Stegostoma tigrinum: one gene and its partners. The protein of the gene in region 1 interacts with the protein of each later gene in a biochemical or structural test. Links are inferred from orthologs where the notes say so. Each region holds a gene or a part of one and is shown in the gene's direction. Other genes may lie near its edges.

Region 1 (7,455 bases):
ATCGCCCTCTCTGATGAAGGGTCTAGGCCCGAAACGTCAGCTTTTGTGCTCCTGAGATGCTGCTTGGCCTGCTGTGTTCATCCAGCCTCACATTTTATTATCTTGGATTCTCCAGCATCGGCAGTTCCCATTATCTCTGATACTATTTTAACCTCACTGCGAAGCCTCTTCCAGGGATGCCTAACCTGAAGAAGTTACCCTCCTCCCTCCGGACCAACCTCAGGGAATCTCTCTCCCATTGCAACTCTCCACCTATCTTCTTTTCTCTCCATCTTCGGTCCGCCTCCCCCTCTCTCCCTATTTATTCCAGAACCCTCACCCCATCCCCCTCTCTGATGAAGGGTCTAGGCCCGAAACATCAGCTTTTGTGCTCCTGAGATGCTGCTTGGCCTGCTGTGTTCATCCAGCCTCACATTTTATTATCTCTGACATCTGTCCTATATCTTTCAGCCCTCAATTTAAAGCTATGCCCCCTCGTGCTCGCCGTCACCATCCTAGGAAAAAGGCTCTCCCTATCCACCCTATCTAACACTCTGGTTATTTTATATGTTTCAATTAAGTCACCTCTCAACCTTCTTCTCTCGAATGAAAACAGCCTCAAGTCCCTCAGCCTTTCCTCGTAAGACCTTCCCTCCATACCAGGCAAAATCCTAGTAAATCTCCTCTGCATCCTTTCCAAAGCTTCCACATCCTTCTTATAATGCAGTGACCAGAACTGTACGCAATACTCCAAGTGCAGGCCGCACCAGAGTTTTGTACAGCTGCAGCATAACCTCTTGGTTACGGAACTCGATCCCTCTATTAATAAAAGCTAAAACACTGTATGCCTTCTTAACAGCCCTGTCAACCTGGGTGGCAATTTTCAAGGATCTGTGTACATGGACACTGAGATCTCTCTGCTCATCTACACTACTAAGAATCTTACTATTAGCCCTGAACTTTGCCTTCCGGTTACTCCTACCAAAGTGCATCACCTCACACTTGTCTGCATTAAACTCCATTTGCCACCTCTCAGCCCAGCTCTGCAGCTTATCTATGTCTCTCTGCAACCTACAGTATCCTTCATCACTATCCACAACTCCACCGACCTTAGTGTTGTCTGCAAATTTACTAACCCATCCTTCTACGCCCTCATCCAGGTCATTTATAAAAATGACAAACAGCAGTGGACCCAACACCGAACCTTGTGGTACACCACTAGTAACTGGTCTCCAGGATGAACATTTCCCATCAACTACCACCCTCTGTCTTCTTTCAGCAAGCCAATTTTCGATCCAAACTGCTATATCTCCCACAATTCCATTCCTCCGCATTTTATACAATAGCCTACTGTGGGGAACCTTATCGAACACCTTGCTGAAATCCAAATACACCACATCAACCGGTTTACTCTCATCTACCTGTTTGGTCACCTTCTGAAAGAACTCAATAAGGTTTGTGAGGCACAACCTTCCCTTCACAAAACCAAAACCAAAAATATTCACAAAAATATTGCGAAATAGCAGGAACTGCAGATGCTGGAGTCAGAGACAACACAGTATGGAGTTGGAGGAACACAGCAGGTCAGGCAGCATCAGAGGAACAGGAAAGTTGATGTTTCGGGTCAGGACCCTTTTTCAGAAAAGATATTACACCTCCAAACAGAATTTAGATCACAAATCCTTCAGACAGGGCATTGCACTGCACTATATCGAAGAGACAATTCATGAACTTTGTTCAGAAAAGGATCCCGACCCAAAACATCAACTTTCCTGCTCCTCTGATGCTGCCTGACCTGCTGTGTTCCTCCAGCTTCATACTGTGTTGTCTATATTGCATGAATTATCTCTCTGATATAGTGCTGTGCAATGCTGTGTCTGAAGGATTTGTGATCTAAATTCTGTTTGGAGTTGTAATATCTTTCTCCGTTGATATTGTACCAAACTGCCACTGTTTCTCCTATAGAAATTATTCACTTGAGAGCATGAAATTTATATTTTTTGTACATATAGTTGGTTTTATTGTTCATTGTTTTAAATTATATAAACACTTCAATTCCAATAGATGCTGAATCTTCTTCAGCACATTTTCTAAAGATTGCAACATTTTCTTTAAGCACTAGAAATTGAAGATGAATTGCTAATAAAACTTTATCCTTAAGGTCTCTTCATGCCTGCAAACATTTTATATTCTATTTTCTCATTTTCCTTTTCAGAAATCTTCTTAATTCATGTCAAAGTTGCAGAATTTCTGTATTCAGAATTATCCTATTTATGCTGAAAAATTATTTTCAAACACTTAAATCACACCAAAATGTTTTTAAGTAAGGAATTTAGTATTTAGTATTCTGTCCTAAGAAAACTGTTAACTTGCACCATTTCCCCATTACTCTTCATGATTTAATTGCCCTTTTTAAGGCTATGGATGACTCACCCATTTGGTTCTTCTCTGAGCTTTCTGCACTATTTTGCTTGAATGTTAAGAGTTCATAAAGAAATACTTTCAGCTGATTTTCCCCTTCAAAACAATTTTCATAAACTTTTCCAAGTTCAATTTTTCCACATTTATCAGTCAATTCATACTGCTGTTTTCTGAATGTTATTGATCAGGGTCCTTTATATAAAGAATTTTTCGCAGCTTTTCCTGATACTTTAAAACAATTATAACAGTTCTGATCAACTTAAGCAACATTTTAAATCTTCTTTCAGTGATATAGGCTAGACACCCACCTTAAATATACAAAATTTTGCCTTTCTACTCATGGTTTTAATTTACTTTAGGTGTCTTGATATCAACAACTGTAATCTGGTTTTGTGATTTGGATATTTTCCCTTGTAATTCTAAGACTTTCCATGGCCTATTCAAGTTTTTATTTCACTAATTTCTCCATTTATAGCTGTTCTAAGCTTTTACTCGCCGCATTGGACTTGCTGTCAGTGGTGGTTCTCATTTAATTATTGGCTACTCCATTCACAGAAGCTGACAGAAACTTCTGAGTTGCTGATATTTAAAAATAGACTTAGTTTCCTGAGAGGAGTTTGCCTTTCTTATTCGGAGATAGCAAGATGTGGAGGTGCCAACAGTCCCGGTGAAGGGAGTAACCTGAAAAACATTGATTTTCCTGTTGCCTGACCCGCTGTGTTCCTCCAGCTCCACACTGTATTGCCTTCCTTACTTTCTTTAGATGGCTGAGGTGTTTGTAGTTCTGAAGATTTCTTCAGGTTGTGTTCACTGCCGCTATCATATTATGTGAGACAGTGATGTCCACCGCCGCCAGCATACTGTAATGGGCAGCTAAATTAAATCTTCAGGTGACCACTATTGACGCATATTATAATGGTCAGGCTGGGAAGCTCTCAGTAGCTTCACTGCCACTAACCTTTTTTAGTGGTAGCAGTCCACGCTTCTGAGTTCATGAAGGGGAAGGTGCCTACACAATCTTTTCAGCAGAAGAAAGAGTAATTCTTGTGAAACAGTAAATACATTTGTTATATATTACTAAATAGTTACATCACATCTGAAATACAAGATGGTCTCTTGTGAACGATCAGGTTCAACTTAAGAGTAGGTCCATTTTGCTGCTAGTAAAACATTGTCAATAAACGCAGAACTAGTTAACTCCCCCCAGGAACAGCCTTATACAATTATTTTAAATCAATCCGTCCAGGCATGTTATGACACACCTCTGGGATAGGTGGAATGGAACCCAAAGTCTCTAGCTGAGATATAGACACACTTCAAGGCCATTACCATCCTTCAGATTCTGATTGGCATCATGCCAGTTAACCCTTTGGGTGCTAACTGCCTGATACAAGAAGTGTCTCTTTGGCAAAAACGCCAAGTTGGTGTAGCCAAATATTGGCAGAAATGGTAGAGACTTCGAGGTACGAGCAGTGGCAAACTCCGCAGGCCGTACTTATATAGAAAAGAACAGTACTGTGTGTTCCAGGCTTTTGACACTTCAATTTAGGCTGCGATGCCACTAAGTCTTTTTATCCTCCTGCACTACAAATGTTCTGACGCAGAGAAGTAGTCGTCAATTTTTTTAACAGATGCGGATTGTCCCGTGTAAGTTTCTTGAGTGTTCAACCATTCTGACCATTTTACAACTGGAAAAAGTGCTGAGTGCAGAGCTATCGTTCAAAAGTGCAAACAAAAACCCTGTAAAGACTTGCTTTCGCGTGTCACAAGCTAGTTGCGATTTGCGTGGGAAGTTGGGAGCTCCCCCTCAGCTTGAGGAAACTTCAATAATAAAGGGTGGTAAGGATCGTGACCGCCGAGAATAAAAGTTGCGGGTGGACCACACCGCGCTTATGCTTGCGTGTGCGCGCGCAGTAAAGCGGAGCCTCCCAGCAACTCGGGGAAGGTCGGTCCGAGCGGGGAGGGTAGGCGGCGCGCGGACCGTCCCAGGCCGTCAGCTTCGATCCCGTGGGAGGCCAGGGGGCGCGCCTGCTCCGCGCTGACGGGCACGCGCGCTCTCGCGCAGTGACGCGCTCCAGCCCACCTCTTCCCGCCCCTCGCTGTGACAATCGCCCGTGCTGCCAGTGGGGGAGCGCGTGGCTGCGAACCCTGTGACAGTGGCGACCCGCTGCCGACGAGCACCTGAGACCACAGCGGAGCGGCTCGCAAACCTGCCCGGCAAGATCGGGGGCGAGAAGCTGCATCTACCTCCAGCAACCAGGTAAACGTGACGCCTGCTCCTGCCGGGCAAGTGCCGCGGGGGGAAGCGACCGACATTCGTGCTGAATGCTTTGAAGAGTCAAGGTTAGTGTCGTTTAGAAAAGTGCTGATGTAACTGCCTGTAAATCAATACATTGGGACGTAGCGAAGGGCAAGTACGAGGGTGTTTAAATATCGAGTAACCAAGCGAGTGGAAAGAGTTTGGACAGAGCAATTTGCTCACAGTACTCTGCACTGAAGAATTCAGCTCCAGTTGTACTTAAGTCATCACCCCTGAAAACACATTGCAGAACTTTCACAGTCCTATTGAGCAGGTTGGGATGTTTCATTCACTTTTTTAAAGATGACCATATATACCTTGTATGACTCCAACTCTATATTATTTCTTGTCAGCAACTAAGTGAACTCCTTTCAGAAGCGCTAAATTGAATAAATATTTCAGAAGAGGTGCCCAGTTTGTTGCACTAAGTCATGTGGCTGTGGTATGTCGCTTTATCGGAGTTACTGTCGCTGATACTTCATCTTTTGCAGATGCTAATCATAGATGGGGAATTAAATTATCTAGGTTTATGTTATGTTTGGCTACTTTTGTCTATTGTTCAAAAATCTCCATTGAAGAATACAACGATGTTGCGCAAGTAAAAAGCATTAATCAATGGTCTAAGCATTTTTCGCGATAAGAATTTAAACTGCTTTGTGAAACATTATTGACGTTAACATTCATAAAAAACCTTGAAGTATTTAGCCACGTATGTTTAAGCATTTTGAAATAAATTTAATTACATTAAAATACAATGAAATCATGACGGGTCAAATTCAGATAATTTGAAACTCTGAATCAGGTTATCCGCCATTCTGTGGGCAGAACAGGAAATCTAATAGAAGGATGCCTGTGATGAACCTAAGTTCTGGACTGATAACTCTGGATTAGCAGAACGTATACACACGTTATTGTGTAACTGTTCAAATCAATCAGACTGGTGTCAGGACATGCTAGAGCCAAAATCATAGCAAACTTGTAATATTAGCTCCAAAATGGTCTCACCCACATCCGAAATGAATATACACCAAGGAACATTTTTAATATCAATGAAAAGGAACTGATTTACTATCTTTTGCTAGATTGCTGTTTACTGCTTAAAGATGAAATATTTAATGACAGAAAGTAAAGCAAAGAACCTGCTGTTGCAGGATGGCATTGAAAAGCTGACTCTGATTGTAATGTCCAAGAAGCCATACTATTTTGCAAACATAACGACACTACACACACTCGGAGGTACGCGAATGATCGCCAGCGTTTCTGAAGCAAGGATCAGGAAAATGGACGAAATGTATCAACGTAAGAAAAGGAAGGTTATCATCCTGGTGGCCCTGAAGAATCTGGTGAGTGGCCACCCATTTCCACAGCTGAAGCCATAAAGGCCACCGAGGTCTTCCAGGATTCCACGCTGCAGCACAAAATCTGGAAAATATGCTTAACTGCATTGACAATGTAGCAGAAGACTGCATGCTAAGCAGATTACAAATTACTGACTTTTCCAGAGCTACCTTCCAATGCTTTTCAATTATTTTTACTGCACAAGGTCAGGCCATGGTAACGTGTTGACGACTTGAAAAATAAAGACATTTTTCATATTTACTGTGTTACTACTATATTTTCTTCATTTGTTGCAGGCAAAGCAAGTTACATATGGTGTCCTCAGCTCTCTTGAAGCTCCATTTCACATGGATTTGTGGGCAGGCCCCGACTATTTGACTAATTACACTTTTTCAGTTTATCGGAGAAATTATATTCAAATTATTAATCAACCTACATGTACATTGTACATTTTATACCGAAGGATCATAGACCTGAAGCATCAGGCTGAATATTGAGGAGGTTGGGATGCTTTGTACAATTTTTAAATTCAAAAGATATGTTTTCATTTGTTTTTTTCATATTAACTCAGTGAAACTAATTTGTAAAATCCAAGCTAGTATAACCTTTGCAGAGAACAGGCTGGACAAACATGACACAGCAATAAAGGGCATAGAACACAGGAGCAAGGAGATTATGTTGAACTTGTGTGAGACCCTAGTTAACCCAAGCTAGAGTATTGCGCACAGTCCTGGGCACCACACTTTCAAAAGGCTGTAAAGGTATTAGAAAGAGTGCAGAAAAGATTGGTAAGAAGTATTCAATGAATTCAAGTTATAATGTAATAAGGTGAACAATTTAGAATTTTTTTTGAGAGATGAATGGTTTGGGAACGAAATGACAGTGATATAAAGTAATTGAAAATGGAAGCCAAAAGGATAGGAGAAAATATTATTAAGGCCTAGAATGTATTGTGAGGAGTGGAGTGGAGGTGGATTCAATTAAAGCATCCAGAAGGGAATTAAATTGTTGTCCAAAAAGACCAAATGTACAGGATTACAGTGCACAGACAGAAGGATTGCATAAAGCGAAATGTTCATCTGAATGGCCGATATTGACAAAATGGCCTCCTTCTGCACTTTAACAGTTCTATAATTATGTGATGTCATGTAGCGGTGACTATCACTTTCAAACCTCCCCTACCTCATCAGCACATCGTATACCATCCTCTCACCCCCAATTGCCAAAACCTCCATATTTAATATACAAAAGATGAAAGTCTGTATATGAAATAACTGCACAGAGGCCAGTATCCTGTTACCGATGACCTTTTATTTATGCGTGGACAGCCAGTTCAGAGTTAATCCCCAAAGTGAGGAGATTCTGAATCTCCCATTTATATCTGTTGTCCAGGGATCTCTGGCCCAGGTTAACAACCC
Region 2 (7,769 bases), on another chromosome or scaffold:
TGGATGAACACAGCAGGCCAAGCAGCATCAGAGGAGCAGGAAAGTTGACATTTTGGGTTGAGACCCTTCTTCAGACTTTTCTGGTACAGACTTTAGATGGGTTTTAGATTTCTGAGACACTGGAACTGGTTCTGGCAAAGATGGCACCTGTACAATACAGACAGGTTACACCTAAACAGAACTGGGACTGAGTTCCTTGTGGGTTTTTTGCTGCTGCTGCTGGATGGGCTTTAAACTACCTTGGCAGGGGTGTGGGAACTATGGGAGGATATTAGAGAAGAATACAAGGGCTCACAAAATATTTGGAGAGATGGAAAGCTTTAGCATAAAGAACAGTAAACTAAAGGTGAAGCCAGAATAAGACAGCAATGAAGTCTGAGTCAAAGTCAACTGTACGTGAATGCATGGAATGTACTAAATAAGATCAGGCAGTATAGATTGCCAATGTAGAAATATGATATTGTGATGATAATCCAAGGAACATCAAGAAGGTCAGGACTATAGATTTAATCTTCCTGGATACAAGGTATTAAGAAAAGGTAAGAAAAGAAACAGAAGAATGATGGAGGTATTAGTTAAGGAGGGCATTGCAATGTGAGAGAAAAAGGGTGCCACAGAGGGTTCAATTTGCCTACAGCTGAGGGATAAAAATGATATGCAATTCCACTGCTTGATTTGGTCAACAAATCACCAATTACAAGGAAGGATGTAATGGAATAAATCTGCAAAAAAGTAACAGACATGCCAACATTGTAAATTAATTATAATGGGGACTTAAATGATCCAAATACAGGCTGGCATATTGGTAGAGTAAGGGACAGCAAATGGGGCGAATGTTTCTAGCTTGTCTTAAGGGGCATTTCCTACTGCAACATGTGTCCATCAAGAAACGACGCACTGTTGGAGCTGACGGTTAGAAATGAAAACAAGTCAGTGCAGGGGAAGCAGTCCTGGAGCAGGACTGACATGGGGGAGCTGTCCGGAGCAGCGGCTGGTGCAAGGAGCGAGTCCCAGATGGAGGGCGGCATGGGGGATGCAGTCCTGGAATTTAACTTGGAGCAGCTGAGTATGGAGTGGACTGGAGGTTTGGAGCATAGTGGGGATAGTTGTTGAATTGGGCTGCGGCGTGGGCAGTCAGACCACTTGTGGAAGCCCCTATGCTGAGCGGCTGCAATGTAATGTTATTTGAATTTTTAAAATCTGACTGTAGTTTCAATTTTTTAACTATGTCTTATTTCTAACTTATTCTTTACACACTGTAAAATATTGCAACTACTTTTCTTTTTATTTCTGTTTAGTATTTAAGATTTATACCTAGGTACTTGTACCTAAGATGGGCACATAACAGGCGACATTGCAAATCTTTTCACTGTACTCCTGTACCTGAGTACAGACAACAATAAATGATATTCCAAATAAGTGGATCAATTGTACTGGGAGAAACATTTAGCAGACAGTAACTGTCGCATCACAAGGTTTAGTACAATGTTGGAGAATGACAACAGTCGATCATCTGGCAGGAAACCAACTTCACCTGGGCAAGAACAAAGCTGGACTAGATAGAATGGAATGAAAGGGTGGCAGCAAAAACAGTAACTGGGCAATGGTCTATCTTCAAAGAGGAGATGGTTAGGGTACCGTCATGGTATTTTGCACAAAAACGACAGATAGACGGACTAATAACTTCAGAGCTCCCTGGATGAAAAATGACATTTAAATTAGGAAAAGGTGTGTTTATGACAGGTATTAGATACATTTATAGTGTTTTTTCTGTTATAATGTAGGAAGTGCGACACATTTGTACATAACAGTCTCCCACAAGCAGAAAGGAGTGTGATAGTGTCCAGATTATCTATTTTTAAATCGAGGACTATTTGGTAGTAAATATTGACAAACACCCCACACATTTCTCAAAATATTGACATGGTATCTTTTATGCTCGTCAGGGATGGTATACAGGGCCTTGTTTTGACATTTCATCCAATCCTGTAGTGTTTATAGTTAGTTATCTCATGCTAGGTGCCAAATTACCAGACATAATTTAACACTGCAGCCTAACCAGCAAGATTTGTACTCGTGGCATAGGGATAGATAAGAAGCTAGTCATAATCCAAAGATTTATGAAGATGTAAAATGCATTACCAGAAGATGATGGAAACAGAATATATAACAAATTCTAAAAGGGAAATGGAAATGGAAACATCATTGAAAAAAAAACTTAATGACAGACGATTACAGCACAAGTGGCTATTCGGCCTTTGGTGTCTGCACTGATTCACTGAACTGACAATTTACCTGGTGTCCCACCCCTCTTTTTCCCCCGCAGCCCTACGTTTTTTTTACTTTTCAGTTAGTGCTCCAAATCCCCTTGATTGCCTCAACTGAGTCCATTGTACATATATGTTTCCGTTGATGGGTGAGTCCAGAACCAGAGGACACAGTTTAAAAATAAGGGGTAGGCCATTTAGAACAGAGTTGAGGAGAAACTTCTTCACCTAGAGAGTGGTGGATATATGGAATGCTCTGCCCCAGAAGGCAGTGGAAGCCAAGTCTCTGGATAGTTTCAAGAAAGAGATGGATAGAGCTCTTAAAGATAGTGGAATCAAGGGTTATGGGGATAAGGCAGGAACAGGATACTGATTGTGGATGATCAGCCATGATCATAATGAATGGTGGTGTTGGCTCGAAGGGCCAAATGGCCTACTCCTGCACCTATTGTCTATATTCCAGGTCCTAATCAATTGCTGTAAAAAAAGCTTTTTTCTCATGTTCCCATTATTTCTTTCATCAATTAACTTAAATCTAAGCCCCCCGAGGTTCTCGATGCTTCCAACAATAGTAACAGTTTCTCCCTGTCTATTATGGAAGAACAAAATTACCAGAGTCCATAGAAAATGTAGAAGAATGAGACAAACTGTACAGGCATGATGGCTGAATACTCTCCTACCAAGATGTACAAATCTATGGATTTCTCTCATATTAATTTGATGTTTCTTCTAAATTTGCAGCAAATATTACTGCAGAAAATAATGAATGTGTTCAGGAAATAAATCTAGAAATATTGGCAATTCCATTTTTTTACTTTAAGTTTTTTTTCCCAAATGAACCAAAGTCCCCTGTCCTTGGGCATAAAAACTGGTTGACAATATCTCCGTTATCCACCACAGTATTTAAACATTGGGGGATTCCATCTAAAACCATTAGATTGAGTGACTCGAGATAATGGGAACTGCAGATGCTGGAAAATCCGAGATAACAAAGTGTGGAGCTGGATGAACACAGCAGGCCAAGCAGGATCTCAGGAGCACAAAAGCTGACGTTTCGGGCCTAGACCCTTCATCAAAGAGGGGGATGGGGAGAGGGTTCTGAAATAAATAGGGAGAGAGGGGGAGGCGGACCGAAGATGCATACAGGAGAACATAGGTGGAGAGGAGAGTATAGGTGGGGAAGTAGGGAGGGGATAGGTCAGTCCGGGGAGGACGGACAGGTCAAAGGGGTGCCATGAAGTTAGTAGGTCTGTAATGGAGGTGCGGCTTGAAATGGGAGGGGGTATAGGTGAGAGGAAGAACAGGTTAGGGAGGTGGGGACGAGCTGGGCTGGTTTTGAGATGCGGTAGGGAAGGGGAGATTTTGAAGCTGGTGAAGTCCACATTGATACCATTGGGCTGCAGGGTTCCCAAGCGGAATATGAGTTGCTGTTCCTGCACCCTGCGGGTGGCATCACTGTGGCACTGCAGGACGCCCAGGATGGACATGTCGTCTGAGGAATGGGAGGGGGAGTTAAAATGGTTCGCAACTGGGAGGTGCAGTAGTTTATTGCAAACCGAGTGGAGGTGTTCCGCAAAGCGGTCCCCAAGCCCTCTGTGTTTTATTCTAGTTTGCCAGACCAAGTGGGATTTGGCCTGTCTTCTAATGGCTGATACAGTATAACCTTCAACACCCGTAGAAGTTCAGAACAGATAGAGGCCCTTCTCTCAAAGCCTGAGTAAATAAAGATACACAACAAAAAAACAAATCCTCTGGACGGAGTGGGACTTGAATCCAAGCACTCTGGCTCAGAAGTAGGGGCACTACCATGATGCAACAACGGCTCAATTAAGGTTCAGAGACTACCGCATCATATTACTGCTCCTTAACTCTACTTCATTAGAAGTTCATTTTACATTTTTAAATGCTTTCTCAGGATATTGGCATCATCGGCAAGGCCAGGATTTTTTTGAGCATCAACTGTAATCCCGAGAGGGGGTGGATGTAGTGAGGGCCTTCTTAAACTGCATCAGTCCTTCCTGACTCACTCCATCCCCTTCTCCCTTCACTCCTCCTTCTTCCACCCTCACTCTGTGTTGAACGTCTCCACGGTGCCTTAACAAACCGACCTTTATCAATAACCTGCCCTGGTCGTGATGCTTTCCAGTGATGTATCTGCCTCTGCACACATGGGAGATCCCCGGCAACATCATCTCCCAGCCTCCCCTCGCTGAAAATGGACTCGACCTCCGCTTGTTGTTCACCCCCCCCCTCGCCGTCACATATGGACGCGTCCAGAGTTACATCACCGTGGGTGTTCTAGATCAAACTATCCGGCAAACAGAGGGGTTGTTCTGATTAATTCGGTGTAACTCTAAAATGACCAACGTCGATATAACACCACCTTTACCAAGAAATTACGGTTAAAATGTTACCTGTTAATTAAACAATGATGAATGTGTTTGATTTTACGGCCGTAAAGGAGATAACAACAAGCAACTCCCCCTCCTCTCGCCAGCGCTACGATTGGGAAGGTCCGCAATTCTCTCCCCTCCCCCCTACCCCCGGCGTGCCCGCACCGGTCTCGCGGAAGTTTGAGAGGGCGCGCGGCTGAAGGTGAAGCAGAGCCGGCGGTGAAAGGAGCGGCTGGTGAGAGAGGGACCGGGGGAGGGGGTGTAAATAAATAAATAAACAAATAGATAAACGGTCTGCGGGAAGAAAGGCTGGATAATATCAGAGACAGAGAAGCAGAAGTAGGCCATTCAGCTCGTCGGGCCTGCTCCGCCTTTTGACATCCTGGATTCCACATTCCTGCCTCTTCCCTATGACCCTTGATTTTCTTAAAGAGTAAATATCTGTCTATCTCAGCCTTGAAATGTAACCCTCAGAGGCTTTGGAATTCTGCCTTAACATATTCAGAGGTACATGGACTCTTGTCGGACACGGACGCGGTGGGTCATTGGGGATAGATGGAACGTGGAATTCAAAAACACAAACAGATTAGCGATGGAAAAGCCACAGGCTCCAAACCTATAGTTCCCAAACCCCGTACAGCTCACTTCTACCTTCTTCCCGAAGTCCACAAACGGGATTGCCCAGTTTCAGAATTTACAGTTCACGGGTACCAGCCGCCCCCTCCTTACCATAACATTATACGCCCATCCCCCATCAGGAAGGTCTTCAGGTGCTCAGCTACTACTTGGAAACAAAGGCCTGAACTGTCCCCGTCCACCGTCATATGCCTCCACCTGGAGCTAAGCTTGTCCTCACTTCAAACAACTTTTCTTTCAGTTCCCCTCACTTTCTTCAGATCAAAAAGACCATTGATACCCACATGGGCCCCCTTGGAGTTGGGGTGGTGGGTATAGATGGATGAATAGCTTATTTCTGCCCCTAATTCATTTGTCTGTATGTTACTGTGATGCCAAACACTGCTTTCAAACAGGGCCCATATGTTTCTGCTCACTTAGAAATATGCAGTTCACAAAGCAAGTTTTCATTTGTAAAATGTGTGTTAGTAAGCCATTTTATAAACTGAACAATTGAGTAGTTTTGTGAATAGACTTTAGGGCAAACATAATTATATGCTAATAGGAATATCTCTATTTTTATCTTTGCCTTTTTGGTTTTAGTTTTTATGTCAAGGATCGAGCACTTTTAAGTGCCAATGTGGATGTTTTGACTGCCAACCATTACTAAAATAATTAACTACCTACGCAGCCTGAGTTATATGTTATAAGCACCAAGGGACTATATATTATTTTAGTCATATTCCATGTGACAATTAGGAATGCTCACGACACTCAACAACATCAGGCAGAAAGACATTGCAATTGCTTCAGTCTTTGTGATATAGCTAGAGATGTACTTTGGCAGAAATAACCAGATTGCATTTGTATAGCATTTTTCATTTCTTCAGGACATTTTAAAGAATTTTTCAACAAATGAAGGACTTTGCTTCTTCACAGCTGTGATTCACTTCAATGTCAGTAATTTAGGAGCAGTTAAAATCCCATTGATATTTCTTAAGAAGAAAGATTTGCCTGGGACCTGTGAATCTTTTCAAATAGATGCAATGTTGTATTGTTACACAAGAATTAACAATTTAGTGTACGTGTTCCCGGTCATTCGCCTTGGCTAAAATGGTGATCTTCATCAGCTGTTATAAAACTGGACCTGAATGTCTCCAAATCCCACCATAAAAGCTGTTTTTTGTATCAGGCATTTAATTTAAAAACAACATAATAACGTGAGGATGTTGGAGAGAGGCTGAATGACCTATTTTAATTTTACATTGTATGTGACAATCCTGAACCCAGTCAACTCACCCTGAAGTTGCCACCAGGTTATTTGCATCACGGAGTGTTTTTCTTCATTCTGGTTTTGAAGACATTACTTAGTGTGGTCTGAGCTTATATGGTTTTTGTGAGGAACAAAATCTCTTCATAGTCTAGATTATGAAATCTCCAAGACAATTTGTTGACACCATGAGCTGTAGTTCAGGTATGTCACTGACCACGATAAGGGAGATCACAATCTTTTCAAGGTCATAAAACTTTAGTGGCGTCAGTGAAGTCTGTAGTTGATGTAATGCAGTTTTTATTTTGCAGTTTGCGTTAAATTTGTTTCAGAATTCAGTTAAAGGGGCTTGAGACTAAAAATAAAGCTACAAGGTGAGATTTAAAGTCTTGTATGCTCTTGCCATAATCAGTGGAAGCCTGTGGTTAGAAGTGAAAATTCCAAATGCTATTTTTTAAAAGTGAAAATTGATTTTTTTTCTAAGAATACAAAAAATAAGAGGGAGACCTGCTTCACCACCCTAGTTGGATCCTAGTATAAATTGGGCTTCAGTTCCACTTTCCTGTCTTCCATTCATAATTTCTTGATTCTCTGAGATACCAAAAATTTGTCTATTCCAACTTTAAATATATACAATGATAGCATAGATGATGTGAGATATAGCTTCACATGGTAAGTAATGGCAGTATGAAATGCCCTATCTGAAAATGCGGTGGAGGTAGGTTCAACCGAATGTTCAAGAGGGCATTGGATAATCATTTGGATAGAAATAGTATGCAGGAATGGGTGGAGAAGGCAGAAGATTGGCACTAGGTCATAGAATGAGTGCAGGCACAGTGGGGTGAATGGTCTCCATAACAATTGTGATTCTCTGAGATTTCAACATCTGCTAGGATGGGATTCAAACCCATATCCCAGGACATTAGCCTGGGCCTCTGGATTACTAGTACATTATCACTATGCTATTGCATTCATGTGAAGTTATTTCTCCTTGTCTCATCCTATGTGATTGGCCACTAATCATCAAAGAATATCAAAATTCATCAATTATCCTTACAGGAAGATTGTCTTCATTCCATGTAATGTTCCCTTTTAATCTAGCTAAATTTGCATTGCTTGAATTTGGTTTCAGTAGTAAGTGCTGGCTCCTTCTGTTTATTTAAACCCACCTTTTATCTATTATTAATAACTTATTTCGCTTGCTACTACTGTAAATAAGCGAGT
Region 3 (6,837 bases), on another chromosome or scaffold:
TATTTTAATTCTCATTATGAAAGTACATTTATAAAAGTTGTGATTTCCTTTCAATTGCAATAAATTTGACATGAATGTGCAGCATGTTTTGTTTCATTTGCCAAATTATGCATGTCAAATTCAGACATTTGTCTAAGATATTTGCACACCAAACATGTTGTTTGACTACAGATTTTATTCCTCACCAACTCTCTTAAGTAGATAGACTGTTTGTTTTAAATTTTCATCCGAATAAGGTAAGTTAAATCTTGTTAATTAAGCCATGGCAATGTTTTTAAAATAATCTTAAATTAATCTCAAAATGAACCTTAACAGCAAGAAGAGAGTTTAAATGTTAATGCAGATCACCAGTGAAAATAAAATTACCTATTGTATATTTGTACAATTGAATATTTTTGGCATGCTTTTGTATCATTATTTTATTGAGAACTGAGCAATGTTTTGATTTAACTCTGGAGGTGGATTGTGCTGTCCCCATCATAAGTGCTACATTACAAAACCGCCAAGAATTTGATGATTTGAGAAATTTGGACTTTTGGTCAACTCTAGGAGAACAGAATCTGCTTGGATTTTTTAAAAGAGTATCTGCTGTGTCCTGAGCTTGAATAGTTTTTTTAAAAAACTTCATTCAGAGAAGGTGAACTTTGCTGGCTGGGCTAACAGTTTTTGGCCAATCCTTAGAATATGGGAATTAGCTACTGCCATCCATCTTTTATCTAGATATGCCCTCAGTTTTTAATAGTGGGGACTCGAGGATCTTGACCCAGTGCCACTGAACGAATGGCAATATATCCACTTTAGGATGGTGAGTGGCATGGAGAGGAGCTCGCAGTTCAAGGAGTTCCTTTGTATCTGCTGCCCTTATCCTTCTAGGTCATGTTCGGAAGGTGCTGCTGTCTAAGGAGTTTGGGTAAATTTTTGACAGTGCATCTTGTAGATGGTAAACACTGCTAATAACTATGCATCGGTGGTGGAGGGAGTCATTTTCTGTGGATCTGGTGTTAGTCAAGCAGACTGCTTTGTCCTGGACGGTATCAAGCTTCTTGAATGATTTGGAGCTGTACGATCTAGGCAAGTGGAGAGTGTTCCATCACACTCCAGACTTGTACCTAATGGTGGTGGTAGAAAAACACTGGGGAGTCAGGAAGGTGAGTTACTTGCTGCTTACTGAGATATCTAACAAAGCAAACATTTATTTACACTGTCTGTTGATTGCAGTAAGCTTGTTACCATTGTTTTTCAGTCAATCTGTTAAACTCCAGAAGAAAGAAAGAACACTTACAGCAATAATACTAATTTACAATTTTTGGTTATTTTAGCTGAGGGGATGGTAGTGCACAGATTTTTAAATGGATTAGTGGTAGTACATATTCATGAAGCCCCATTTAGAATACAGTGTCCAATTTTGGGCCCCGCACCTCAGAAAGGACATACTGGCCCTGGAGCGTGTCCAGTGGTGATTCACACAAATGATCCCTGGAATGGTAGGTTTAACATATGATGAACGGCTAAGGATCCTGGGATTGTATTCATTAGAGTTTAGAAGGTTGAGGGGAGATCTAATAGAAACTTACAAAGTAATGTATGGCTTAGAAAAGGTGGACGCTGGAAAGTTGTTTCCATTAGGTGCGGAGACTAGGACCCGTGGGCACAGCCTTAGAATTAGAGGGGGTAAATTTAAAACTGAAATGAGACGACATTTCTTCAGCCTGAGAGTGGTGGGCTTGTGGAATTCATTGCCACGGAGTGCAGCAGCGGCCGGGACGTTGGATGCCTTCAAGGCAGGGATCAACAAATTCTTGATCTCACAAGGAATCAAGGGCTATTGGGAGAGTGCAGGGAAGTTGCATTGAAATGCCCATCAGCCATGATTTAAATGGCGGAGTGGACTCGTTGGGCCAAATGGCCTTACTTCCGCTCCTATGTCTTATGGTCTTAAGACCGATTGTGTACTATTTATGTTAAAATGAAGAGGATAATAACACAGAAATTGGAATGCCTTCTGTCGACTCATGTATTGTTTCACATTCACAAAGATCAATGAAGATTAGGCTCGGAAATAGCCAAGATTAGCAGAACCAGGTAGAGATAAATTTAAAGAATTGATAATTTCTCTGTAAGGAATACCTCCTATTAGTGCATTAAATGGAAGTTTGATCTTTCTTTGTAGTCTGGTCATAAAATAAAATTTGTTGAACCTTTGAAGAATGCTGGTTTAACAACTTGTCAAATCATCAGTTTTTCTTTGTTTTTCTCCAGTATAACACCATTTCCTTTTGGATAGGCTTCAAGTTTGTTGCAATTGGATTTATGAGAATTATTTTTTGTAAATAAAATGACGTACTTGCAACTAATTACTAGTCAATTTATACCAAGTTAATTTTGAAGTATTTCTGGCATTGTAACAATACCTTTTCTCCTGTTAACTGTAGTTGATAACAAATCTTGGTGTACAGCAATATTAAAATAATCCCTAGTTTCGGTAGTCATATTCCAAAGGGTATGCATCTCTTTCCTTTACTTTATAAATTACTAAACTATTAGAACAATGATTTTGAAATGTAAAGAAAAACAATATTTTATGTATTCTCTGATCTACATCTTCAATGCATTAAAATTTAAAATTTCCTACTCATCAAATTATTGCTATGTTCAACCTCACATCTGCAATGTTCTCCTTTCCCAAGTCAGTGGTGTCGTCTTGACATTCCTGTCTGTAAATCCCTGCTTTGTCCAGCTATTAAACGCAAAGGCCACAGTGACCCTGACTTCTCTTCTGTGAAATTTTCTTTCATCTCCTCAAAATGTCATTTGACCAAGCTATCTGTCCTCCCCTAACTTCTTCCCCAGCTTTGCTGTTCAATTTCTTTTTGAATTTGTGAAGTGCTTTGGGGTATTCTTTTACTTAAAATTTATAATGAAGTAGTATTTATTGTTATGTAACTTTGTTATCTTGTAGAATTGCTACTCGATTGACAATGTCGATCAGTAATTGCTATCAGTTTAGATTAAGTATTTTAATGAATTGAGAATTGCGGCTATTAATGTTTTATTGTCATGAGCTGCCATATTGAATATAAATACCCTTCATGGCAACTTAAGAAATAAATATGGCTACTTCATCTACAAATACCATATGTTCTTGTGTAATGATTTTATAAATTGGCTCACGTTTAAATTTATAACGAAACTAATAATTAATATTAGGCTGTTGTTACTTTGGCTCGCAATTACTTTCACTGTCTTAACTTATGCATAATGTTTTCCCCCCAGTGGGTTTCCTACATAAAATTTGCTTATGATATATGCGGAGTAAACTAGTTCGCGCAATTTGCAATGTGCTCATGTTGACGGCGGACATCTTAGCAACATACGTATTCAACAGAGTATAGGTCCCTTTTATATTCTCCTAATAACTGCAGACAACTTGACAATAGCAAAGTGGAAAGACCTTCCTCGGCACAGGGAATCTCTGAGATTGGGGGTTTGTACCCATTCTCACGGCCATCTAGTTCAACTACCACTATGAACTATGGTTTGACCTGCCGGTTGCCAGTAGTGCACGCATGTTTATAAGGAAGTTATGTAACAAAATTTGGGCACATCAGGAGCGAAATGAAAATCCCATTTCATTCGATCAGCAATATTTTGTTGCCGAAGAAAGGCTTAATTTGCTACTTAGTTTTTATTTTTGAGGGATTTTGTGGAATTCCAAAATCGCAAAAAATAGAGGGGGAATAGGTACACTAATGCATAATATGGATAGGACTTCGTGAACTCCCTGTGCTTTTCGATTTTGGCTGGGGAATGGAACATGAAAGCTGATTGGGTTCAGCAAGTCGCTTTCTATCGCTTTCAATGTAAATAATATGCGACGCAGCTTGACTTTGGCGATTCCACATTGAATAGTGCTCCTTTGCTTGCGGAATATACAATAACTTATTCAGTTCGTAAGAATTGAATGAAATCGGGTCATTTCCTTGCTGATTGCGTCATTATAGCCTGCTGCTGGAGGTGCTTTCTGTCTTTTTACAATGCATTGGTGAAAACTGTCAGAACAAACTCGGGGGGTGAGGAGATATTCATTCTTTTCAGTGTTTCATATTTTAAAAGAAGCGGCGTTACTTACTCAGGTGTCGCAGTAGATAAGCAGTTGATTGGATTTTATGCAAGGAGTTACAATGCAGAAATTTTCCAAGTCGCCTGTACTGTATAGGAGTCACTGTAAATGGTACGTGCAATGCTTCTCCAAGCCGGTCCTCATACTTTGATTGTTAGATATTTTTGTGTGGCCTTGAATATGCAGTAGACGGTGGCTTGCATACCAAAAAAAGTATTACCATTGCCTGGCTGTTCCGAAAAGAGTCGAACAACTTCCCTCGTTGGGCCAAGTCATGGAAATGAAGCCAATTTTTTTTCCCTCTGTTTCTATCTGATTTACGCTTAATGTATTGTAATGCCACTTCGGTTGTTATATTACATTTTTGTATAACTAGAGTTTTGATGGCCTTCCGACGAGACGAAATTTGTTTTAAAAACGGCAAGTAAACTGTAGCACCTCTTTCGCCAAAGAGTTAAATGTGTGAAGAGCGAAGTGAAACTGGAGATCTGACAATCGAACAGAGGCGAATTCCAAAACAAGTTGAACTACTGATAATTGTTTCTTTTGCATTAGTGTGAAGCTGAAAGGAATCTGAAAGTCAGTCCAATGCCAGAAAGGTTCACAAAAATTTAATTTTAAAACGAAAGCCTAATCTTGCTGTAAAAACGGTTGTCATAAATCTGTACCCATCGAGCAGAGAATGCAGAATAGGGTAAGATGGCCCATTATATGTGCGTGTAACAGATGCAGGAGTTAAATAGTGTACGACTCCTGTATGTAAGGCGATTTGAAATAAATGTTATTCTCTCGATTTCATCTTTCAATCTGACGTTTCCTGACCATAAACAGAGTTGTTTCTCACTGGCCATTGAGGCCTGACATACTGCGTCCCTCTTGAGTTTATGCATTTTAATCTCCTGCAATGTTCAGGCTATTTTTAGCTCCCACTCCCAGGGTTCGGTTTCTGTTAACAGCAAGCCACATTGTTGGTAAATCACATGTAAAATGAAATGCCTATCTTTCTCTGCTTCCCCAGTACGTACGTCTGTGGCGAACGGTTGATATTGTGTTTTCAGTCACTTTGTCAATTACAAATGCATATTAGGATACAACTTGGAAAACATCGTGAAATTCTGACAATTTAAAGAAATGAAATATTATTTATTCCGAAAGGGCTCCATTGTTTATGATTTGAAGATTGGCTCCATGCCTAGGTAGGCGTGCGGTCTATGTAAACTTTGTGTAAAAGAAACAATCAGTTAAAAGTACTATTCTGGAGAGTGATTTTTGTCCCTACCCCGGCACCCCGCGCTGTTAGAAACAAAACTGCCTGGATTGCAACAGATACTGCAGACTGTAATTGCGACTGAATCCTTTTCAATTTCAGATGGACTTTCCGGTCGAGATCAGTCGATTGAGTTGCTGACCCCTTCAAGAGTGAATCACACGCCCAGTACTGGTAAGACCAAATTTTTAATTGAGACATTCATTTACCAAATAAAATCAAGTCACGAACTACCTTCTAGATGTTGCCAACCCCCAGAATGGAAACTATTTTACAATGAAGAATTGATACTGTTGGCTACTTAGCTGTGTTTTTGTTCATTCCGAAGTGTTCCTTTTTCACTCATGGGACGTTGCTGGTTGGCCATAATTTATTCCCCGTCCCCAATTAACTTTGAGAAGCTGGTATCGAGCTGCCTTACAGAAACGCTGCAGTCGATCTGCTGTGGGTTGAGCACCATGCCCTTGGGGAGGGGATTCCAGTATTTTGACCCAAAGAGAGTGAAAGAACAGCAGTGTATTTCCAAGTCAGGAATTCCAGGGTTTTAATTAGGATGGCAAGTGGCTTGAAGGAGAACTTGGAAGTAGTGGTGTTCCCATCTATCTTCTGCCGTTGTCCTTGTAGATGAGCAGTCGTGAATTTGGAAAATGCTGCCCAAGAATCTTTGAATTTTTGCAGGGTATCTCGTAAACAGAACACACCGCTGCTACTGAGCATCCGTGGTGGAGGGAGTGGATACTAGTAGATGTAGTGTCAATCAAACAGGTGGCTTTTTCTGGACGGTGTCAAGCTTTTCTTGAGTGTTGTTGGAGCTGCACCTAACTAAGCAAATGGCTAGTACTCTTTCAGACTCCTGACTTGTACCTTGTAGGTGGTGCATAGGTTTTGGTGAAGCAGGAGGTGAATTACTCACTAGTATTCCTGGACTATGACCTATTTTTGTAGCCACCATGTTTTGTAGCAAGTCCAGTTGCGTTTCTAGTTGATGTAACCCCCAGGGTGTTGATAGTTGGGGATGGTAGCACAATTGAATGTCAAGGGGCAGTGGTGAGTTGGTCATTGCCTGGCATTTATGTGGTGTAAATGTTACTTGCCACTTGTCTAGATCTCGTTGCATTAAAACATGGACTCCTTCTGGAGCCGAGCAATTATGAATAGTGCTGAACATAATCTAGTTGTTGGCAACATCACCACTTCTGGCCTCATGATGGAGGGAAGGTTATTGATGAAGCGATGATTGATGGTTAGGCCTAGGGCACTATCTTGTGCAACTCCTGCAGAGATGCCCAGAGCTCAGATGACTGACTTGCGACAGCCTCAGCCATCTTCCTTTGTGCCAGGTATAACTCCAACCAGTAGTGAGATTACCCATTATTTCCAGTTTTGCTGGGACTTCTTGACGTCATACTTAGTTGAATGCAGCCACAATGTCGACAGCTGTCACTCTCGC
Region 4 (7,802 bases), on another chromosome or scaffold:
AGTTGTAAAATGATACAAAACTTGGAATCATTGTAAACTGTAAGTCCAATATTTTGAAGGATGTGCAGGAGTAGTGTGACTGAGGTGTATATGTGTATAAGATGGCAAGACAGCCATAAATGGCAGTTAATAAAATGTACAGTATCCTAGAATTTATTGTGGGGTTAGGCACAACAGCAAGGAAGTTATGCCGAATATGTATACAACTCAAGTTAGATATCAACTGGAGTATTTTATAGTTCTGGAAGGCCCACTTTAAGAAGAATATGAACACACTGGGGAGACTGCCAAAGAGGTTTACAAGGACAGCTCCAGGAATGAGAAACTTCAGTTTATGAAGATAGATTAGAGCAGTTGGGACTGTTTTCTTTGAAGAAGGGAAGGCTCAGAGGAGAGTTTATAGAAATTTTCAAAATCCTGAAAAGCTTGGACAAAGCAGACATGAAGAAATTGTTCCCAGTTGTTAAAGGTGAAGAACAAGAGGGCAAGTATTTAATGGACTTTGTTTTTGCCTTTTTCACAAAGACTTTTTCACAATCTTGAGCAGTCGGGATCTGAAATGTACTGCCTGGAAGTTTGATTGGGGAAAAGTTCAATTAAAAATATGCAAGCGGGCATGAGGTAATGGTTAGTTTGAATACAAACAATGTACAGGGTTAAAGGGAACAGAGAGGAGAATAGCACGAAGTCATAATGCCCATTCAGAGAGCTGGTGCAGACATAATGAGATGAATGGTGTTTTTCTGCGCTGAAACAATTTTGTGCTTTTGCAGGGGTAATGGGAACTGCAGATGCTGGAGATTCCAAGATAATAAAATGTGAGGCTGGATGAACACAGCAGGCCAAGCAGCATCTCAGGAGCACAAAAGCTGACGTTTCGGGCCTGGACCCTTCATCAGAGAGGGGGATGGGGGGAGGGAACTGGAATAAATAGGGAGAGAGGGGGAGGCGGACCGAAGATGGAGAGTAAAGAAGATAGGTGGAGAGGGTGTAGGTGGGGAGGTAGGGAGGGGATAGGTCAGTCCAGGGAAGACGGACAGGTCAAGGAGGTGGGATGAGGTTAGTAGGTAGCTGGGGGTGCGGCTAGGGGTGGGAGGAAGGGATGGGTGAGAGGAAGAACCGGTTAGGGAGGCAGAGACAGGTTGGACTGGTTTTGGGATGCAGTGGGTTGGGGGGAAGGGCTGGGCTGGTTGTGTGGTGCAGTGGGGGGAGGGGATGAACTGGGCTGGTTTAGGGATGCAGTGGGGGAAGGGGAGATTTTGAAACTGGTGAAGTCCACATTGATACCATATGGCTGCAGGGTTCCCAGGCGGAATATGAGTTGCTGTTCCTGCAACCTTCGGGTGGCATCATTGTGGCAGTGCAGGAGGCCCATGATGGACATGTCGATGTAGAGGTCAGTACGCCATACTACCACTGACAGACAAGGGTGGCGCAGTGGTAGTATGGCGTACTGACCTCTACATCGACATGTCCATCATGGGCCTCCTGCACTGCCACAATGATGCCACCCGAAGGTTGCAGGAACAGCAACTCATATTCCGCCTGGGAACCCTGCAGCCATATGGTATCAATGTGGACTTCACCAGTTTCAAAATCTCCCCTTCCCCCACTGCATCCCTAAACCAGCCCAGTTCATCCCCTCCCCCCACTGCACCACACAACCAGCCCAGCCCTTCCCCCCCACCCACTGCATCCCAAAACCAGTCCAACCTGTCTCTGCCTCCCTAACCGGTTCTTCCTCTCACCCATCCCTTCCTCCCACCCCAAGCCGCACCCCCAGCTACCTACTAACCTCATCCCACCTCCTTGACCTGTCCGTCTTCCCTGGACTGACCTATCCCCTCCCTACCTCCCCACCTACACCCTCTCCACCTATCTTCTTTACTCTCCATCTTCGGTCCGCCTCCCCCTCTCTCCCTATTTATTCCAGTTCCCTCCCCCCATCCCCCTCTCTGATGAAGGGTCCAGGCCCGAAACGTCAGCTTTTGTGCTCCTGAGATGCTGCTTGGCCTGCTGTGTTCATCCAGCCTCACATTTTATTATCTTGTGCTTTTGCAGGGTCAGGTCTGAATGTCATGCGGTGTTGATGCCAACCATTTATTCACTTTTAAATTTCACATGCACCTGCACATTCCCACCATTTCATAGCACATTCAGAGTTGCTTAGGTTAGACAGGGTAAGATCAGAAGGTCTCCTTCAAGAAAAGATATTACCATGATTGTCCACTGGAATCACACAGTCCCCATTACTCTAACTTTTCGTTCTAATTCATTTAGTGAAGGGAATATAAACTTTACAACTACTGGGTTGGAATATGAACTTGTGTTCCGAGAATCGCACCAAAATTGGTGCTGTAATGGATGGGGAAGAAGGTATCTAAGATTACAAAGAGATCTTGATCACTTGGGCCAATGGCAGATAAACTTTGATTTGGATAAATGGGAGGCGTTGCATTTTGATAAGCCAAACAAGGGCACACTTGTACAGTTAATGGTAGGGCTCTGGGTCACGTTGCCAAACAGAGACCTAGGGGGTCAGGTACATTGTTCTTTGAAAGTAGCATCACAGGTAGACAGGATGATAAAGAAGGTATTTGGTATGCTTGCCTTCATCGCTGAGACCATTGAGAATAGGAGTTGGGACATCCATGTTGAGATTGTAGAGGACATTGGAGAATTAACTTTTGGAGTACTGTGTGTAGTTCTGGTTGCCCTGCTGTAGGAAGTATTTTATTAAATTGGAGAAGATGCAGAGAGAAGATTTTATGGAGGTTGTGCCCGGAACTGGAGTGCTTTGAGTTATAAGGCTAGGTTGGATAGAATCATTAGAATCCCTACAGTGTGGAAACAGGCCCTTCGGCCCAAAAAGTCCACATCGAACCTCAGAGCATCCCACCCAGACCCATCCCCTATAACCCACTTAATCTACACCTCCCTGAACAATTCAGGCAATTTAGCATGGCCAGTCCACCCAGCCTGCATATCTTTGGACTGTGGGAGGAAACCGGCGAAAACCAACGCAGACACGGGGAGAATGTGCAAACTCCGCACAGACAGTCGCCCGAGGCTGGAATCGAACCCGGGTCCCTGGCGCTGTGAGGCGGCAGTGCTAACCACTGGAATAGGCTGTGATTTTGTTTTCACTGGAGCGTAGGATATTGAGGAGTGATCTTATAGAGGTTTATTACATCATGAGGCGCATAGATAAGGTGAATGGCAAAGTTCTTTTCTCAAGAGTCGGGAACATCACAACTAGAGGGCATAGTTTAAAGGTGAGAGGAGAAAGACTTAAAAGGGATCTGAGGGGCAACTTAGTCACACAGAGTAGTTCACAGGTTGAACGAAGTGCTAGAGGAAGTGGTAGATGCAGGTATAGTTACAACATTTAAAAGACAAAGCACATGAATAGGAAAGGTTTAGAGGAAGGTGGCCCATCGGACTAGCATAGTTTGGGAAACTTGGTCGACATGGATAAGTTGGACCAAAGGGCCAGTTTCAGTGCTTCGTGACTCCATGACAATAGGACCCAGCCCTTTGAATTATTAGACCAACAACATAGCCGTGTTACCACATTTGGCAACAATAAAATTTAATATATTTATAGTTTAATTAAATCGATTTTTGGTTGTATACAAGTTGTTTTGAAATAACTTTAGACAGTCTCTCAAAACTAGCATTTCTATTCAAATGTAATTTAGAAATAATTTTATAACTCCTCCTGATTCCCTAGTGTGTCATGTTCCTTTTCACAAAAAAAGCAAAGGATCAAAATTTAGCTGCCATGTCAAAAAGAAACTAGGTACTTGATCCTCAGGGTGACTTCAAAGTACATTTCATTTGAAGATGAAATGACTTGCTGGTTGACTTAGATCGAAGAAAATCTTGTTCACAGCAGAACAGAATACCCCACTCAGCAATCCTCATTGAGAAATGGTTTGATTAACTGCAATCCGAAACCTCCGGCTGCTGGAAGTCTCGGGTCAGTAAAACAAAGGACTGCACTAAAATCACTGTTTGACGACTCTATGCAAACGATGCCTTACTGACTGACAAAGGAATGTAATTTTATTTTGCATTCCTTACAGATTCCTACCTTATCTGTGAATATGTAATTAATGTGTTATCCTGAAGCGATTTGTGCTTTTACTAAAAAAAATCAGCATTTAACTTTTGTCTAGACTGTTAACCACCTCTTCCTCCCCCAAAAAAATTAATCCGTTCACGCTGCTGAGAATCTAAACAGTAAGAATCTATTGTCCTTGACTCTGTGTGTGTGTGTGTGTGTGTGTGTGTGTGTGTGTCTGTCTGTCTGTTGCTTGGAAACTCGGTTGAAAGATCAAACACTCAAGTATCCTGAACCACCTCTAATTGTCTTCCCACTGCTGATGAACATGTTGTGGTTTCATGGTAATACCTTGAACATTGAAAACAAATCGCAATTTGAACACAACCGTCCAGAGAGCTAAGGTGTCAGTTTAAACAGCTGCTGAGCTTCCTTACCGCTGTAATTAACACATTGACACTTGGCTGCGAGTGTGCTGAGTGGATTGAACCATTTAGCTCGCTCGCTGTGTGTGTGGTGTTCTCCCACTGTAAAACCCTCTTTTGGCAGATGAAGTCAGCCGCTACTCAGCATCCTGTGTGCTTCACTGTGTGCGTGAAGTGGAAGGACTTAATTATTAAGTTGAGTAACGTTTGATCTCTTTTTTTATTTTGGTGCAGTCGGTAGAAATTAATGCATGCACGCCCCCACCCCCTGAGTGATGAAATAAGTAGGAGAGGGATTGGATAGTGCAATCCAAGCATTGGGATTCCTTGCCCTCACCGTCAGTAGTTCATTTGAACTTTGTTCTTTCCTTTTGGACAATGTCAGACGGTGTTTCTCCAGTCTTTTTACAGCTCTAAGTTTGATGGCTTCAATCTTCAAACGCCGTCTTGGCCTTTACTAACAGATATTAGCAGCTTTGTTTAAAACGGCTCTGAGAGCTGTAGTTTGAAAAAGGCTGCAGTGTGCAACCACCTTCAGTCTATTTAATGTTGCCCACTTCTGCTCTGTCACTTTTGTGTTGAGTAGCGCTGCCGCTAAACGCCTCGACAGTGAACAGGTTGACAAGGTACAAGCGTAAGCATGGACCGATTTTTGTACCTTATGAAACAAATGAGAAGGTCGAGGAGAAGGAAAAGCAAGAAATATAGACCAGAAGAGGATTATCATGAGGGATATGAAGATGTATACTATTATGCCTCTGAACAACTGCGTAGTAAGTGTGAACTTCTTATTCTTTAACAGTAGTTTGCAGCAAGGCATGTGGAATTCAATTTCGGTGTTCTTACCACTCAAGTGGCTATTATAATGAGATGTGAGGAAGCAAATGATCATTTAGTATTTTATTGTCAAAACTTTCTGCTGCCGCTTGGCCTGTATGAACTGTCAAGGACCGTGCTCAGAATACAGCATATCCCTTGAGGATGTGTTGACCTGTATTGCTGTCTAGGACATGCCTTTGAAACAGTAGTGGTTTCCAATTCCACGTGTATATTGCCCAGGGATTGCTGGTGTGTTGATGGGTTTTCAACTGACAGATGGTTTCAGGTGTGCGTTGCTTTGAATAATTTGTAGAAGTAAATGAGCAAGAATGTCCGTTCAAATTCAGAGCTGGGAATGAATAATTAAACAGTCCATTACTGCAGGGATCTATCTTGTTGTCTTCAGCGACTGGAGTCTTCTGTTGGGTTTGATCTTTGACTCCTGTCAGCCGACAGAAAATGCCCGAGGTAGCCACTAAGAAAGAAGTTGCATTTGAGGATTTTGCATAATGCTTTGAAAACAGAGTTGAATTCTGCGCATAATCCATTTGATTAATACAAAAGCTTTTATTTACGTCTGTAATGCTACTTGTTAGACTTTGTTTAAATAACTTTGGTGTTACAAACAAGCAAGGTAACATTCCCCCAACCCCTCGTGAAGATGATCCCTCATGCTGAGATGAAATTCTGCAGCTGCACTGAGATGTTTTGAAACCAGCCACTTTCCACGGACGCACCACTTTAATTAATGTTTTTTAGGCTATTTGACCAGTCCGGTGTATTGCCAAATCTCATTTTATTTGACTCAAATATCCATCCAAGCACTTTTAAGCAGGAATCGATGGGTACTGCTCAAGACTAGCACCCTGGCGGTATTTTTAAAATCTCCTCTTTAACTGGGAGCATTGACTGCAGCTTAAGCATTATCATGAGCTGAGCTACATGAAGGAATGCTGAAGGTTAAGCTTGGGCCATTTCTGATTTGTGTAGAGCTATGTCATTGATCAACTGATTGGTCAGGGAGGTACCCTGTTACATCCTGTGACATCTGTCTTGTGTATGGATTCTGCTGTGCACTGTACGTCCAAGCAACCAGTCACCATACAAGCTTACAGTTTTACCGACCATATTACAGTTTGATTACAGGTTTCACCTAATGATAGAAGGAATCTAATCTTTGAAGTTTACTTTTGTACATATTTCTATTTTAAAAATTAAAAGTTTATCCTTCTGTTTCTATCCTTTTGGTGCATTCAGTATAGTAGTTTAAATTTTATTTGGTATGTAGCAAGTTTTATTTGGTCTATTTACATGAAATTACTTAAGTATGAACAGCTCTTTAGTTTTTTTTGTTTTACGGTGAAATTGATGCTCTCCCCCAGATGTCACATAGAGCTGGAGCAAAACATTTTTTGGTTAACACAAACACTCTTTTGCGTTTTCGTATATAGCAGTCATTTTATTATTTTCCTTTTCTTCTGAGTTAACCCGCTTTGTTTGACATTGATTAGAACAGGTCTAGTTGGTTCAGGCCACTGATATATCCATGAACATTGTTTGTGCTACTCTTTGACTGACAAAATAAGAACAGAAATGCTTCTGTCCAATAATTTTGTCTCTGTTTAGATTTCATGTGGTAGGATGTATGAGAATAGATTTAAAGTTGAATTTTGAATTTTTAACCTTTTAATTCAACACTCTCATTTTGTACTCTTCTCCATCCCGTGCAACATTTAAGCCATTATTGATTGTTGTTTACAGAACTGTCTAGTGTAATGACACAAATTGTGCTGGCCCTGAAAAGATGATGTTGTATTGTTGAGTCAGCCATCATCCTAGTGGAGATGACATCTAACAGATCTGTTGTATGTACCAATTGATCAAGACATTTATTCATGCTCTTATGAAAGAAGTGCTTTTGAAATGGTTTAATGTGTATTAGGTCAATGCATTCCTAAAATAGTAACGTGTTCCAGTATTGCTTCTGAATTTGAATTGGGTCACTTTGGTTGAATTCCCATAAAATAAAACCCAAATGTGAATTCTAAAGTTACTTCTGCTTCATGGACAATTTGTAATGGTAGCTATTGGCACATAATATCTTGTGCTGTATTACAACATTGCCTTTTAAGTTTCATGTTCAAAAGTATTTTAAAATGCCCATGTGAAAGTTTTAACAATCTCTTCTTGCAATGCGGCTGTCAGTGACAATGTTAACACTTGGGGTGTTTATTCCAGTTTCCAAGAGAAGATGTGATGCAAATGTGATACTAGCCCCCTTCAGAGGGCAACTGATTTAGCCTGAATTTTTGGGGCCACAGATAAGATCGGCAAATATTCATCATTTTTTAAAAATAACCACTGGAAGTTTGTGAGCTTTTGTGAACACGAAACAGGAGCAATAATAGATCAGCTGGACCATCAGACTTGTGCCATTCCAGCATGGTCGTTGCTGATCTTAAGCCACAATGCCATGCTCCCATCTCCTCCAC

The links.
Region 2: the proteins of pparg (region 1) and ncoa4 form a complex in vitro, tested with the Homo sapiens proteins (2 studies listed by BioGRID, with this or other methods). The link is inferred for Stegostoma tigrinum from reciprocal best matches to the Homo sapiens genes PPARG and NCOA4.
Region 3: the proteins of pparg (region 1) and hdac4 form a complex in vitro, tested with the Homo sapiens proteins (2 studies listed by BioGRID). The link is inferred for Stegostoma tigrinum from reciprocal best matches to the Homo sapiens genes PPARG and HDAC4.
Region 4: the proteins of pparg (region 1) and grip1 form a complex in vitro, tested with the Homo sapiens proteins (2 studies listed by BioGRID). The link is inferred for Stegostoma tigrinum from reciprocal best matches to the Homo sapiens genes PPARG and GRIP1.

The regions. Positions count from the first base shown.
Region 1 is NC_081364.1:24,839,575-24,847,029, forward strand, and holds the start of pparg (peroxisome proliferator-activated receptor gamma), read left to right. Parts: upstream 1-4,452; 5' UTR 4,453-4,660; exon of another isoform or gene 4,661-4,743; intron 4,744-4,864; exon of another isoform or gene 4,865-4,973; intron 4,974-7,455. UniProt on the Homo sapiens protein: Nuclear receptor that binds peroxisome proliferators such as hypolipidemic drugs and fatty acids.
Region 2 is NC_081390.1:6,288,868-6,296,636, reverse strand, and holds the start of ncoa4 (nuclear receptor coactivator 4), read left to right. Parts: upstream 1-4,768; 5' UTR 4,769-4,895; intron 4,896-7,769. UniProt on the Homo sapiens protein: Cargo receptor for the autophagic turnover of the iron-binding ferritin complex, playing a central role in iron homeostasis. Acts as an adapter for delivery of ferritin to lysosomes and autophagic degradation of ferritin, a process named ferritinophagy.
Region 3 is NC_081360.1:21,568,450-21,575,286, reverse strand, and holds the start of hdac4 (histone deacetylase 4), read left to right. Parts: upstream 1-3,832; 5' UTR 3,833-3,961; coding exon 3,962-4,070; intron 4,071-4,114; exon of another isoform or gene 4,115-4,894; intron 4,895-5,097; exon of another isoform or gene 5,098-5,112; coding exon of another isoform or gene 5,113-5,137; intron 5,138-5,489; coding exon 5,490-5,561; intron 5,562-6,837. UniProt on the Homo sapiens protein: Responsible for the deacetylation of lysine residues on the N-terminal part of the core histones (H2A, H2B, H3 and H4).
Region 4 is NC_081371.1:38,284,654-38,292,455, forward strand, and holds the start of grip1 (glutamate receptor-interacting protein 1), read left to right. Parts: upstream 1-4,798; 5' UTR 4,799-5,131; coding exon 5,132-5,264; intron 5,265-7,802. UniProt on the Homo sapiens protein: May play a role as a localized scaffold for the assembly of a multiprotein signaling complex and as mediator of the trafficking of its binding partners at specific subcellular location in neurons.